Linked DNA regions of Lonchura striata. The protein of the gene in region 1 binds, or shares a complex with, the protein of each later gene. Links are inferred from orthologs where the notes say so. Each region holds a gene or a part of one and is shown in the gene's direction. Other genes may lie near its edges. The genes, in order: TMEM67, TMEM17 and TMEM237.

Evidence for each region.
Region 2: TMEM67 (region 1) and TMEM17 share a complex: the UniProt entries of both Homo sapiens proteins name them as parts of the tectonic-like complex. The link is inferred for Lonchura striata from reciprocal best matches to the Homo sapiens genes TMEM67 and TMEM17.
Region 3: TMEM67 (region 1) and TMEM237 share a complex: the UniProt entries of both Homo sapiens proteins name them as parts of the tectonic-like complex. The link is inferred for Lonchura striata from reciprocal best matches to the Homo sapiens genes TMEM67 and TMEM237.

Annotation. Positions count from the first base shown.
Region 1 is NC_134603.1:24,492,085-24,495,832, reverse strand, and holds the start of TMEM67 (meckelin), read left to right. Parts: upstream 1-964; 5' UTR 965-1,063; intron 1,064-2,968; 5' UTR 2,969-3,000; coding exon 3,001-3,057; intron 3,058-3,748. UniProt on the Homo sapiens protein: Required for ciliary structure and function. Part of the tectonic-like complex which is required for tissue-specific ciliogenesis and may regulate ciliary membrane composition.
Region 2 is NC_134620.1:1,594,349-1,598,096, forward strand, and holds TMEM17 (transmembrane protein 17), read left to right. Parts: upstream 1-1,567; coding exon 1,568-1,685; intron 1,686-1,923; coding exon 1,924-2,099; intron 2,100-2,481; coding exon 2,482-2,595; intron 2,596-2,972; coding exon 2,973-3,254; 3' UTR 3,255-3,323; downstream 3,324-3,748. UniProt on the Homo sapiens protein: Transmembrane component of the tectonic-like complex, a complex localized at the transition zone of primary cilia and acting as a barrier that prevents diffusion of transmembrane proteins between the cilia and plasma membranes.
Region 3 is NC_134610.1:27,005,017-27,008,764, forward strand, and holds the start of TMEM237 (transmembrane protein 237), read left to right. Parts: upstream 1-1,412; 5' UTR 1,413-1,424; coding exon 1,425-1,454; intron 1,455-3,748. UniProt on the Homo sapiens protein: Component of the transition zone in primary cilia. Required for ciliogenesis.

The DNA of each region.
Region 1 (3,748 bases):
ACTAAGAAGTTATGTCTTTACACAATCAAATTTACATGAACGTGAGCCTAGGGACAGGTAATTTGATTTGAAAACATAAACTCAACCTTTTAATAGTTGTTGAGCCAAGAAAATAAATCCAGTGAGAAACAAAACATGCTAATGTTGAAAATCATAAGGCGACTAGCACGCAGGAGAGGCACAATGAGAAATAACTAAAATCCAGGACACAGTGTGTTGCAAAGTTTTGGTAACAACTGAGGGAATGAGACAAAAGGCAACAGGCAGAAACCTGCAGAGAAAGCTCCACCTGAGCGTGAAGAACTTCACTGCGCGGGTGCACTGGAACAGACTGCTCAGAGAGGCTGTGGAGTCTCCCTCACTGGCGATACTCAGGAGCTCTGGTCACAGAGCTGTGCCATGTGCTCTGGGATGATCCTGCTTGAGCAGGCAGGTTGGACCAAGCCCCCCGCTATGGTCCTTTCCAACTGGACTCATTCTGTGCTTCTGTGGGACGTGAACAAGAGTGTCACAAAGGTATAACAGTAACACTGGCTGAGCATCCACTGCTCTCGGCATTTTGTATTTTCACCTTGTTACCCTCTCTGGGGAGAAGTTACAAGCACCTGTTCCATTTGGATGATGCACTGTGCATCAGTTCAGGAAACGAGGTACCGGAAAGTGCAAACCGGGCCGGGGTGTCCTCTCGTTTCTGGCTCCTGGTCCCGCACAAGACGCACAAAACTCTCCGCGAGCCAAACGCATCAACTCCGGCCGCCGCGCCCTCCTTCGCCGCGCCCCGCGGACGCTTCGCTTGTTGCGGCGGCGGGCCCCCGGCGCTCGCCGTACCGCGCGGCTCTGGCCAATGGGCGCGCGCGGGCGGCGCGCGCGGTGGCCATGGCGACGCGGGGCCGCGGGGCCGCCGCCGCCGCGCTGCTGCTGGCGCTGGCCGCGGCGCCGCGCCCCGCCCGCGCCTTCTCCGTCCCGCTCCAGCGCCCCGCCGACTGCGGCGCCGACCGCTACTTCGACAGCTCCCGCCTGGCCTGCGCGCCCTGCGGGGCCCACCAGCGGCAGAGCGCCGGCGGTGAGCGGTGGGGGAGGCGGGCTCGGGCGGCTCCGGCTGAACCCGTCCCCAGCAGCGGGAGGTGCTCAGCCGGGCTCCGGCCCTGGCGCTGGAACGCGCCCGAGGGCGGCTCTGAGACAGCCGCGATGTGTCCGAGATACAGCTCAGAGAAATTACTTTCAACCTTTTTCTAATAACCTTTCTTTTCCTCGAGCGTTATATTGTATTTGCATTTTCATCTGTGAAATTCTACAGGACCCTGAATTTATGTTCTCGAGCACTTCTGTACCTTGAAACTCCTTGTCAGACTTGAATGTCCGAGATACCAAGTGTCTGAGATCCTCAGGCTGTGCCTGTTCTAGTCCAAGTCCCACACGGGAACTTGGAGCACATACAGCACAGCCTGACAGTACTAAATGGAAAATACAGGTAGTTGGCTGCTTTCTTTTGGCCATAAAGAGGTGTTAAGGGGTTAATCTTTCATAAAATACACAGTCCAACAAGAGTAGGAGTTCCCTGTGTACAAATTTGAGACTAAGACCTGACAACATCTCTGTCCAGAGCTGGTTGTTTGGGTGGAAGTAGTGATGGGCAGGGCTGTGTTCACAGCTGCTGCCTGAAAACTGCTCACCTTCACCACCACCATGAACCCCATATTTCACTTCCTGGAAGAAAATACAGTATTTTCAGATGCCCTGATAACGAGGGTGCCTAGATCCTTAACTCCTTTTTAGGCTGAATCTTCCTCTAAATAAAGGGCTTCAAGGAGAGGAAAATTCCAAGGAGAGGTCAAGGGTTAATTTTTTCCTGTAGATGTAACTGGAGCAGTGTAGGTAGGTGCTGCTCAGTGCTGTTTGCATCTTTACTGAATTCCACTTGAGATTGCCCAATTCCACTGGCTAGCCCAAGTGGAATTGGGCCATCTTGGCTAGCTCATCAGTCTGGATTCTGGTGTTAGGTCACATGCCTAAAAATCTAGGTATTGTCACTGTGAGTGTCACAACTCAAACTTTTCATTTATCTAATCCAATTGGGCTTTTTCTTCTTTAGAATTAAGTAGAAATGTTTGATCACTTTAACAAATGTTTCTGTACAGCTGGTCTCATTAGAATGTACTTTAAAGTGATAAACTTCCCACAGAATTTGACATTATTTTTGCCTGCACAGTTCAGTAAGCTTCAACAATAGAAAAAGTTCATTAGTACATATAATCAATTTTGTTTTCTGCTATGTGTTTAAAAATACAGAGGGAAATTCATTACACTGAGAGAGGGAAAGTTTCTAAAAAAACTGTTTAGCACTAGTAGATGGGCATTATACTGTTCCATTAAAATAGTGTTTAATTTCATACAAAATATTAAGTATTTTTTGTTCACTCACTGGAAACCATTCAATATAAACCTTGATCCCCATGCACAATTTTAAAAGTCTTGGGTTTAAAACAGTTTTTCATGCAACAGTTGTATTTTGAAAAACCTTTTCACAGGAACACATTTTGGTTTTAGGGCTGACTTCAAATTGAAAAAGTAAAACCTACATAAAAACACGTAATGTGTTTTATGTTGTAGAGGGAAAGGTTGTGGCAAGATTTAATGGAGAGATTATATCTATTACAGACCAACTGGTAAAATTTGGTTTAATTAAAAAAAAAAAAACAAACCACAAAATACAAGCTCTGGGTCCCTGTTCCACCCTGGTAGATCAGAGGCCGTGTAACATTCTCCTAAAACATCTATGTGCAAACTGTAACATCGGCGTTTTTTAAAAAGCAGGATGATTTTCATTCACATCTCACTCAAGTGTTTTATGTCTCTAATAATCCATCTTGATCTCTTGAGAACAATAGTATTTATTCTTAGTATTCTGTTGCAACCTGTCAGTTCTATATAGCTTAAAAGTGCATTTGTTGTTTTTTTTTTCCTTCAGGTAGTTCCTGTGAATGTGAACCAGGATACAGGATGGTTTCTAGTAATGATGGGTTCTCTGTTACTTGTGAAAAATGCCCAGAAAATATGGTAAGTATTGAATGTTTCATGTTTGCCATAATGATAGAATACAAATCATAATCATTATGGGATATTAAATTTTATCCTGACTGCAAGTTATTTTTCATTAATTTAAAATATTTTTGCATAATAGTCTTTCATTGGGAATTTTTAAGAACATGCTAATATGTAGTATTTTTTTTCAATTTAGAGTTGTCTATTTCTATTATTTTGTAGGCTTTTTTCATTACAAATTTGGCCCCACAGACAAAATAATAATTTTTTAAGCATTTAAGTTCTTTCCACTGCTTTTCTTCTCTGCTTTGTCCTTGTCTAGAGAGCACAACTCTATACCTTGTTAAAGATGCTTTTCAGCTCATAGGTATCTTAACTGATTATTTATGTAAATACTATTACTGTAATATTTAGGCTGTATCTTCATAATCCAGAATATTTCATCTTCTTACTTCAAAATGAGCTGTTCCTACTATGTTACTTTAATTAAAATTATAGTTTGATCAGTTCTTCTGACATTCCTTGACAAATTAAGTTATAATTTTTTGTCATAATCTCAGCACTGATCCCGAAACAGCAGGCTAAACCAGATTTTCCCCACTATAGTAAGCAAAGAAATGTATTTTTCCATCAAATCAACATTTGAAGCATTCCTGAATACTTCTTTCTCTTCAATAGCTATAGAAGAACTCCCAGGAGAGCAGCT
Region 2 (3,748 bases), on another chromosome or scaffold:
CTGGAGAGGGACTGGGGACAAGGGATAGAGGGACAGGACAAGGCAGGTTGGGATGTTGAGAAGAAGATGGGATGTAGTGTAGAAATTCTTCTCTGTGAGGGTGGGCAGGCCCAGGCACAGGGTACCCAGAGCAGCTATGGCTGCTCCTGGCTCCCTGAACATGTCCAAGGCCAGGATGGATGAGGCTTGGAGCACCCTGGGATAGTGGAAGATGTCTGTGCCCATGGCAGGGGGTGGGATGAGATGAGCTTTCAGGTCTCTTCCAACCCAAACCATTCTGTGGTCCTGTAACTTCAGCCAATCAGGTGCTGGTTTAACCATGCTTTCAGCCCCAGATGGTTTGGTTTTGACAGCATATGGCAGTGAGCTCTGCAATTTCATTTTAGCTTTATTCAGGAAAAGAATAATCTCTTTCTTTGGTTTCTTGTGTTCCTTGACAGTTTCTGGCCCTTAAGGACCTCACTTACAGCACTTGCTTTCACTATTTGCAGCTTCTCTGATGCACCTTATGGGGTGAGCTGAAGATCATGAGGTCTGTTGGGTAGACCTAGATCTGTTGGGTAGAACTGACAGAGTGTGTCCAGAGAAGGCAACAGTGCTGGTGAAGGGGCTGGAGCCCCAGGAACAGCTGAAGGAGCTGGGAAGGGGCTCAGCCTGGAGAAAAGGAGGCTCAGGGGGGACCTTGTGGCTCTGCACAGCTCCTGACAGGAGGGGACAGCCGGGGAGTTGGGCTCTGCTCCCAGGGAATGGGGACAGATGGAGAGGGAACAGCTCAGGCTGGGCCAGGGGAGGCTCAGTTTGGATATTAGGGAATATTTCTTCATGGAAAGGTTTGTCCAGCTCTTATACAGGCTTCCCAGGGCAGTGATGGAGCCCTCATCCCTGGAAGTGTTCAAAAAATGTGTAGATGTAACATGGTTTAGGGGTGGCTTTGGCAGTGCTGTGTTAATGATTTGACCTGATGATCTTTGAGGGGTTTTCCCACCTTAATAATTATGTGATTTTCAACTTGAAGTTCCTGAAGAACCTTTCACTCCCAGTCATCTCTGGCTCAGCCACCCGCTAACACATCATCCCCCACTGCCCTCCCCAGCACCCCTGAGCCTGGGTGGGGCTTGAGGAACTCACAGTGATGGGTAAATGCTCCATGAACCTGGAGGCCTTGAAGAAGCATTTCAGGTGAAGAGTACCATCCTCTCATGAGGCATCCTCATCTGTCAGGGGTCTTTGAGCAATATTTGTATTGATAGAGCCTGGCTGAGAGAGGGTGCAGTTGCTTCAAGTCACAGTGACGGGTACAAGCTGCTGTCACCCCCTAAAGATGCTGTTGACAGGAGATGCTCTGTGACTTGTGACTTCCTTGCAACTCCACCATGTGATTCCTGCATGGGCTTGGTGTTCCAAGGTGGGAATTCTCCTTCCTCAGATCCCCGTTCCAGGTCAGCAGCCCTGTCCCCAGGGAGCCAATGGCCATATGGCCCTGCGCATTAGCCTGGCCTGCCACCTCACTGATTCCCTCCTGGCTAATCTGGGCTGAGCCGGGCTGGTGTGAGCAGGATTGCTGTCCATGGCTGTACCCACCCCACTGCCCCCCAGCCTGCGCCGAGGCTTGGTGGCCTTCAGTGGCTCCCTCTTCATCAACAACAAGACGTGGGACAGCAGCACTGCCCACGGCTACCAGCCAGGTATGCGCAGAGGGCTCTGCACAGGGGGGCTTGGGAACAGGGGGTGTCCATCCCCATGACCCTGCACAGGGGGGCTTGGGAACAGGGGGTGTCCATCCCCATGACCCTACTCAGCACATCACCAAAGCACCCAAAGAGTCCCCGAAACCACCCAACAGGGAGGGGAGCAAAATCAAGAACATTTGCTGCAATCAGCTGCTTGTGGGACCCAGGGTCTGTTGCTCACCTCCACTGTGAGGGGGGGGTCCCTCTGGGCAGGGGGACCCCGGGGCTGGTGAGCAGCCTGCCTATTCCTGCCTGTCCTGCCTAGCTCAAAAGGTGCTGTCCAGCCTGCCCCTCCAGGTGATGCTCTACTTCAACGTCTACTACTTCCCAGTCTGGTGCCTGGCTGAGGGAATTATGCTGCACCTGAAGGTACCATCCCATGGGGCACGTGGGGATGGGAGGAGCTGCTCCTGCCAAGTCTCCCTGGGCTTGGGTGGGGGACAAAATGGGCAGCGGACAGAGGAACCTTTTCAGAATTACTGGAGTCCCAAAATGCCCTGACCCCCATGAGAAAAGATTGTTCATTTCTGTCTGCTAGAGATGGAAATCATTAACTTTCCAGGCAAGAATGGTTAAAACAGGGGGGAAGAGTAGGCAGAGCTGTGCACCAGCATGGTGAGATCTGGCAGAGCATGGAAAGCTGGGTATGGGGAGGAGGGCACAAGGCATGGAGAGCAGGGAATGGTGCATAGAAGAAAGGGAAACTGGGCATGGACAGCTAGACTTGAACAAGGCTGTGCTCCCATAACAGTACCACCTGCTGCCTTGGCACTATCAGTTCCTGCTGGTCACAGCCTTCCTTATCCTCTCGCTGGCTGAGGGCTCCCGCCTCTACTTGGGCTACCTGGGGAACCTCCAGGAGAAGGTAAGCACTGCCTGCCCTGGCCTCTGTGCTCAGAGAGGATCAGCCCAGCTGGGGGAGCTGGATTTCTCCTCACTTATGAGCCATGTGTCCATCACTGTCCTTTCTCTGGAGGTCTACCTGGAACTGTCCTAGAAGAGAATCATGGGTGAAGGCATGACCTGGAGAGAGGAATGAAAGGGACCCATTTGCCCTCCTGCTGTGTCTCTCCACTGGGGGGGTTTGACAGCATCTCACCACAACTCAATGGAGCAGGGACATCCCTAGTCCCTGGGCACCAAGGCCAGCAGAGGCTGATGCAGGAAGCTCCAGGAGCACAGAGGGTCCCCCCAGCCCACCACTGCCTTCTTGCCCTGTCTCAGCAGCCTCTGGTCTTGCAGGTGCCTGAGCTGGCTGGGTTCCTGCTCCTCTCCTTCCTGATCCAGCTGCCCCTCCTGCTCTTCCTGCTGATGGACAGGCAGGTCATCCACCTACCGCTGGAGGTGCCCATGCACAGCTTGTTCCTGACCTTCCTCCTCCCCGAGATCGTGGCTGCCTTCCTGGCACTGAGGACCATGACCAAGCATCTGGCGGCACAGTTCTACCTGCGGCAGTTCCAGGAGGGTGCGAGGGGCCAGCTGGAGCCAGAGGGCACAGGGGGACAGGCAGCCAAGATGGGATGATGCTGCATGACCCCTCCACCCCACACAGCTGATCCTGGCAAGGAGCATTAAACAGTGCTTGAACCCACAGACATTGTTTCTGAGCTTTGTGGAGACTCCAGAACAGCACCCAGGCACAGCCCAGCTGATCCCAGCCTTGCACCAGCTAACACAGCCTAGGAAAAGTGGAAGTGAGCGGTTAGCACCTCTAAAACATTCCAGCTCACCCCACAGCTGTGCCTGTCCTTGCTCAGCATCAGCCCTGGCAGGAGGCAGGAATCAGGGTGCAGGAGCCACTGCATACCCCTAGGAAGTACCAGCCCAGGGCTGGAACTTTAAACTTGGCTCCTAAACCCTCCTTGAGTTTCCCAGAGAGCTTCTGAGAATCCAGGTGGTTCACACAAAGCCATCCCAGCTGGAAGCATGCAGGGTGCCACGAGGTGCAAGAGCAGCACTCCACAACCTTATAGTTCCTCCATGGCTAGAGACAGAGCAAAACCTCCTCCCACTTCCAG
Region 3 (3,748 bases), on another chromosome or scaffold:
CAATTTACAAGAAGCATCTGCACAGCTGCTGTCTGCAGTACATCGTGCACAGGATGAGCCCCAGTGGGTCCCTGCAGTATGGATATGCTCAGACAATCAGCCCTAATTCTAAACAGCAGGCAGCTTCAGAAAGATTACAGCTTATGTTTTACTTCAAGAATAATCCTAATGTCAGGATTGCAAGAATTTATCTTTGTATGTGAGGGATTTGGAAGAGGATTAGGAAAGAAGCTCCAACAGGAGATATAATCATACTATATTCTGTGTAGCTCTTGAGCATTTTATGTTACTTTTGTACAAAAAGAAGGGAAATACTGTGAGTACTCAATTACAAGAATAAAGAAAAATCTATTTTGTTGCATGTATTTGTGTTATTTACTTACACATAAATTCAGAAACTTCCTTTTTATTATGCTTGTTCTGGGTTCTATGATGCCTTTATATTCTGCAGGTCTTACAAATTATATTAAGTAAGAATGTGCTTTTTTTGCATGGTGTATGTCAGCATTATTATTTATGAAGGTATTGTTTTGTTGCTAATCCTTTTTACCTTTAAAATAGGAGCAGTGTTGGCATAACAATAATTACTACAAAACCCAGTTAACTTCATAATACTGTAAATATATCTTTTCTGCTCTTCCATCAACGCAAGTGAGTACAAACTGACAGAATGTGGACTTACCAAAGAGGAAAATAATCACAAAACCTTTCTCTTGTTGGTTTGGTCTGTGGTAGCATGGTCTCCTCAGCAAAGGGTTCAGTGCTTGTGGAAACTAAGTTACTCACTCTCTCCACCTCATATTTGTAGCTGTCTTGCCACCTGAGGTACACAGGTGGTTATTTTATTGGCCTACCTCATCTTGGAGGAAAATCAACAAAAGTGAGTTAAGCAGTCTAGAAAGAGGTTATTTAAAGGCAAGTATTACAGCCAACAGGATGCCTGTTTGTTCTAGAGCCAGGGCTTGTATTCCCTGTTTAGAGGTAAAATGGGAGAGAGAGAAGCCCCAATATGTCATTGATGTGGGTATGTACTGGTGAAGGGTGAGATAGCAGCCTGGTCCATGAGCAGCTTCCCCACGTCTGCCTAGTCCCAGCATCTTTGCCTTTTCTCCATGTATTATTTCTTACTTTGGTTTTGTTTTCTTCGATTACTTCATTTATCAGTTTAAGACCCTGGCTACAAACTGAACTAGTCCAGAACTCTTTTCTCCTTGCTTTTGCTTGTCTGCAGCCCGAGAGACGACGACTCCCGCTCGGGGCCCCGGAGCTGAGCTCGCTCCGATGGGCCAGCCGCCGGCAACACGGCGCAGCCAAGGAAAACGGGAAGCCGGACCTCCCAGCGCTGGGGGGCGGTGCAACCGCGGCGCAGGGCGGAAGGAGCAGCGGCTCCTCCCCGCAGAGCCGGAGCTGGGCGGGCGTGGTCCATGGCGGCGCGGCGGGCGGGCCCCGGCGTGGTGAGGGGGCGGTGGGGCCGGAGCGGGAGTGGGGCGCGAACGGCTCCGTGGGGCTGCAGGGCGGGGAGCCCGGCGGCGGGAGTTTGGCCCACCTGAGCGCTGTTGCTGAAGGGATGTGGCGGGCCGCTCCCCAAGCAGCAGCTGCTCAGGGGAGGCGGAGCTGAAGCGCAACGCGGTAGCAGAGCGCCCTGGTAGCAGAGCGCCCTGGTAGCAGAGCGCCCTGGTAGCAGAGCGCCCTGGTAGCAGAGCGCCCTGGTAGCAGAGCGCCCTGGTAGCAGAGCGCCCTGGTAGCGAGGCTCCTGCGTCCCCGCTCCGCTGCGGAGGCGGCGGTGCCCGCCCGGCTGCATCCCGCGGGAAGGGGGGAATGTAACCGGCCGCATGGTCGCACATTTCTGAAGATCTTTGTAACGGAAGCAAGCAAACATTTCCTTCATGTACTTTTTGATATAAACCTCTCAAAAGAAAATCTGCAAGGCTTTAACAAATCTGTGAAGGCTGCTTCAGTATTTTTAAACATTCTGGACATTTAAACCTTTCCTTCTCAGCGTCCTGGAATGGGCATCCGGGGATTTGGATAGTTCGTTTTCCCCCTGAGTGTCCAGGTGCGTCCCACTGTCTTGTGGCCTGGCTCAGGTGTGCAAACACAGGGTTTGACCGAGGCAGCGGCTGCCTTGTTTGTGGGAGTCTCTTGGTTTCGGGGGCATTATTTCGGAGGCATTTTAAAGCACGCAGCGGTTCTTCTGTCCATAACAAAATGTCCATGGGGACCTGTCCCCAGACTCACCCTTTCTATGAAATTTGGGGTAAGTTACTTCAGACTCTGTGAAATTGCAATTAGACAAAAGCTGATAGCTCTATGGCAAAGCTAGGAACTGTCACACAGATGGGCAGATGAGTATTTACAACTGGCTGCTTGCATGTGCTTTCCTGTGTTGCAAGGAATAAATTATACAGAAATCAATGCACTTGCCAGTTGTTCTGTAGAAGGTAATAAAATAAAAAGGTACTACTGAGTATAGAATTACTACTGCATAGGCAGTGAATGCTGTGTCTTGTTTGTTTTTATGGAGTTTTTTAGCATTTAGTTTTTTTAAATACTAAGTATTGTAAACATTTACTGCCACAAGAATGTTGGAAATAATAAAAGTAATGAGATCTGACCTTTACCAATATTTTTTTCCCTTATGGTGCACCAGTATAGCGTGACCAGTCCCCACCAGTTTGCTGGAAGCCCCTTAGGGTGTGCAGTTCTCTACCTGTGTAGCAAGTGGCACTTGCTGTCAATCTTCAGCATGGCCAAAATCCAAGTAAGAGATTTGAAGTCTAATCCCACAAACCCTTCCTTGCATGAGGTATCTCATTTCCTTTGGGTAAACAAACCAATGTAAAACTTGTTTATAAGAACCTGTGCCAGCACGCAGAATGAAGAGTTTTTTAGTGCAAGTAATATTTGCTGTCATAGAACAACCTGCCCTTGTTTCAAATGGGAGTAGTTCTGGGTCCTGACCCAGGGGTAGGAGGGTTCAGGTCCAGCTAATCCTGGCTGCCTGAAGTTTATTTTTAGTTCAGAATTAGCTGCGGTTCAATGTGAGGGAGCTGAGCAGTGTGAGGGAGCCTAGACCAGTTCACAGTGCCTCTTTCAGGGAAGGACTTCAAATGATATGGGAAAGAAACAAGTGGTAAGTTTGTGGCTCCTTGAGTCTTACCAGTCTTCCAACCTTTTTTAGTTCTGGTATTTGAATTTTCTGGGCATGGAAAATACTTTTTTGTGTATGTTCTTTCAATATAATTGTGTAATACAAAATCTGAAAGTTAACTCCTTTTTCTAGGGAAGAGAAAGGTACAAGCTCAGTTTCAAATTATTATTTGGAGATCCTTTTAGATTTTAGGTGTTTGACCTGCTGGTAAATATGTTCAAAATTATATGGAAAAATGATATTTTGTAATATTTAAAAGCATTTTAATAAGTGAGCTTATTTCCTTTTATTGTTTTTATTATTGTTCTGAATTTACCTCATTAATAGAAAATACTCATCTCAGGTTGTATACTGTACAATTACTGAATGCACAATTCATTACAATATTTTATATTTATTTGAATAGAATAACTAATAAGCTTTATAGTGAAGGTGGTACCTTACATGAAAAAGTAGAAATTATTGAAGCTAAAATGTAAGCTGTGTCTCACACAGAGGGTAGCTGTATGTTCCTACTGCAGTGCCCATCAGAACTCTGATAAAGGCATATTAGTTCAGCATCTTTTACATCCTACTTTTATGTAACATCTCCATTAG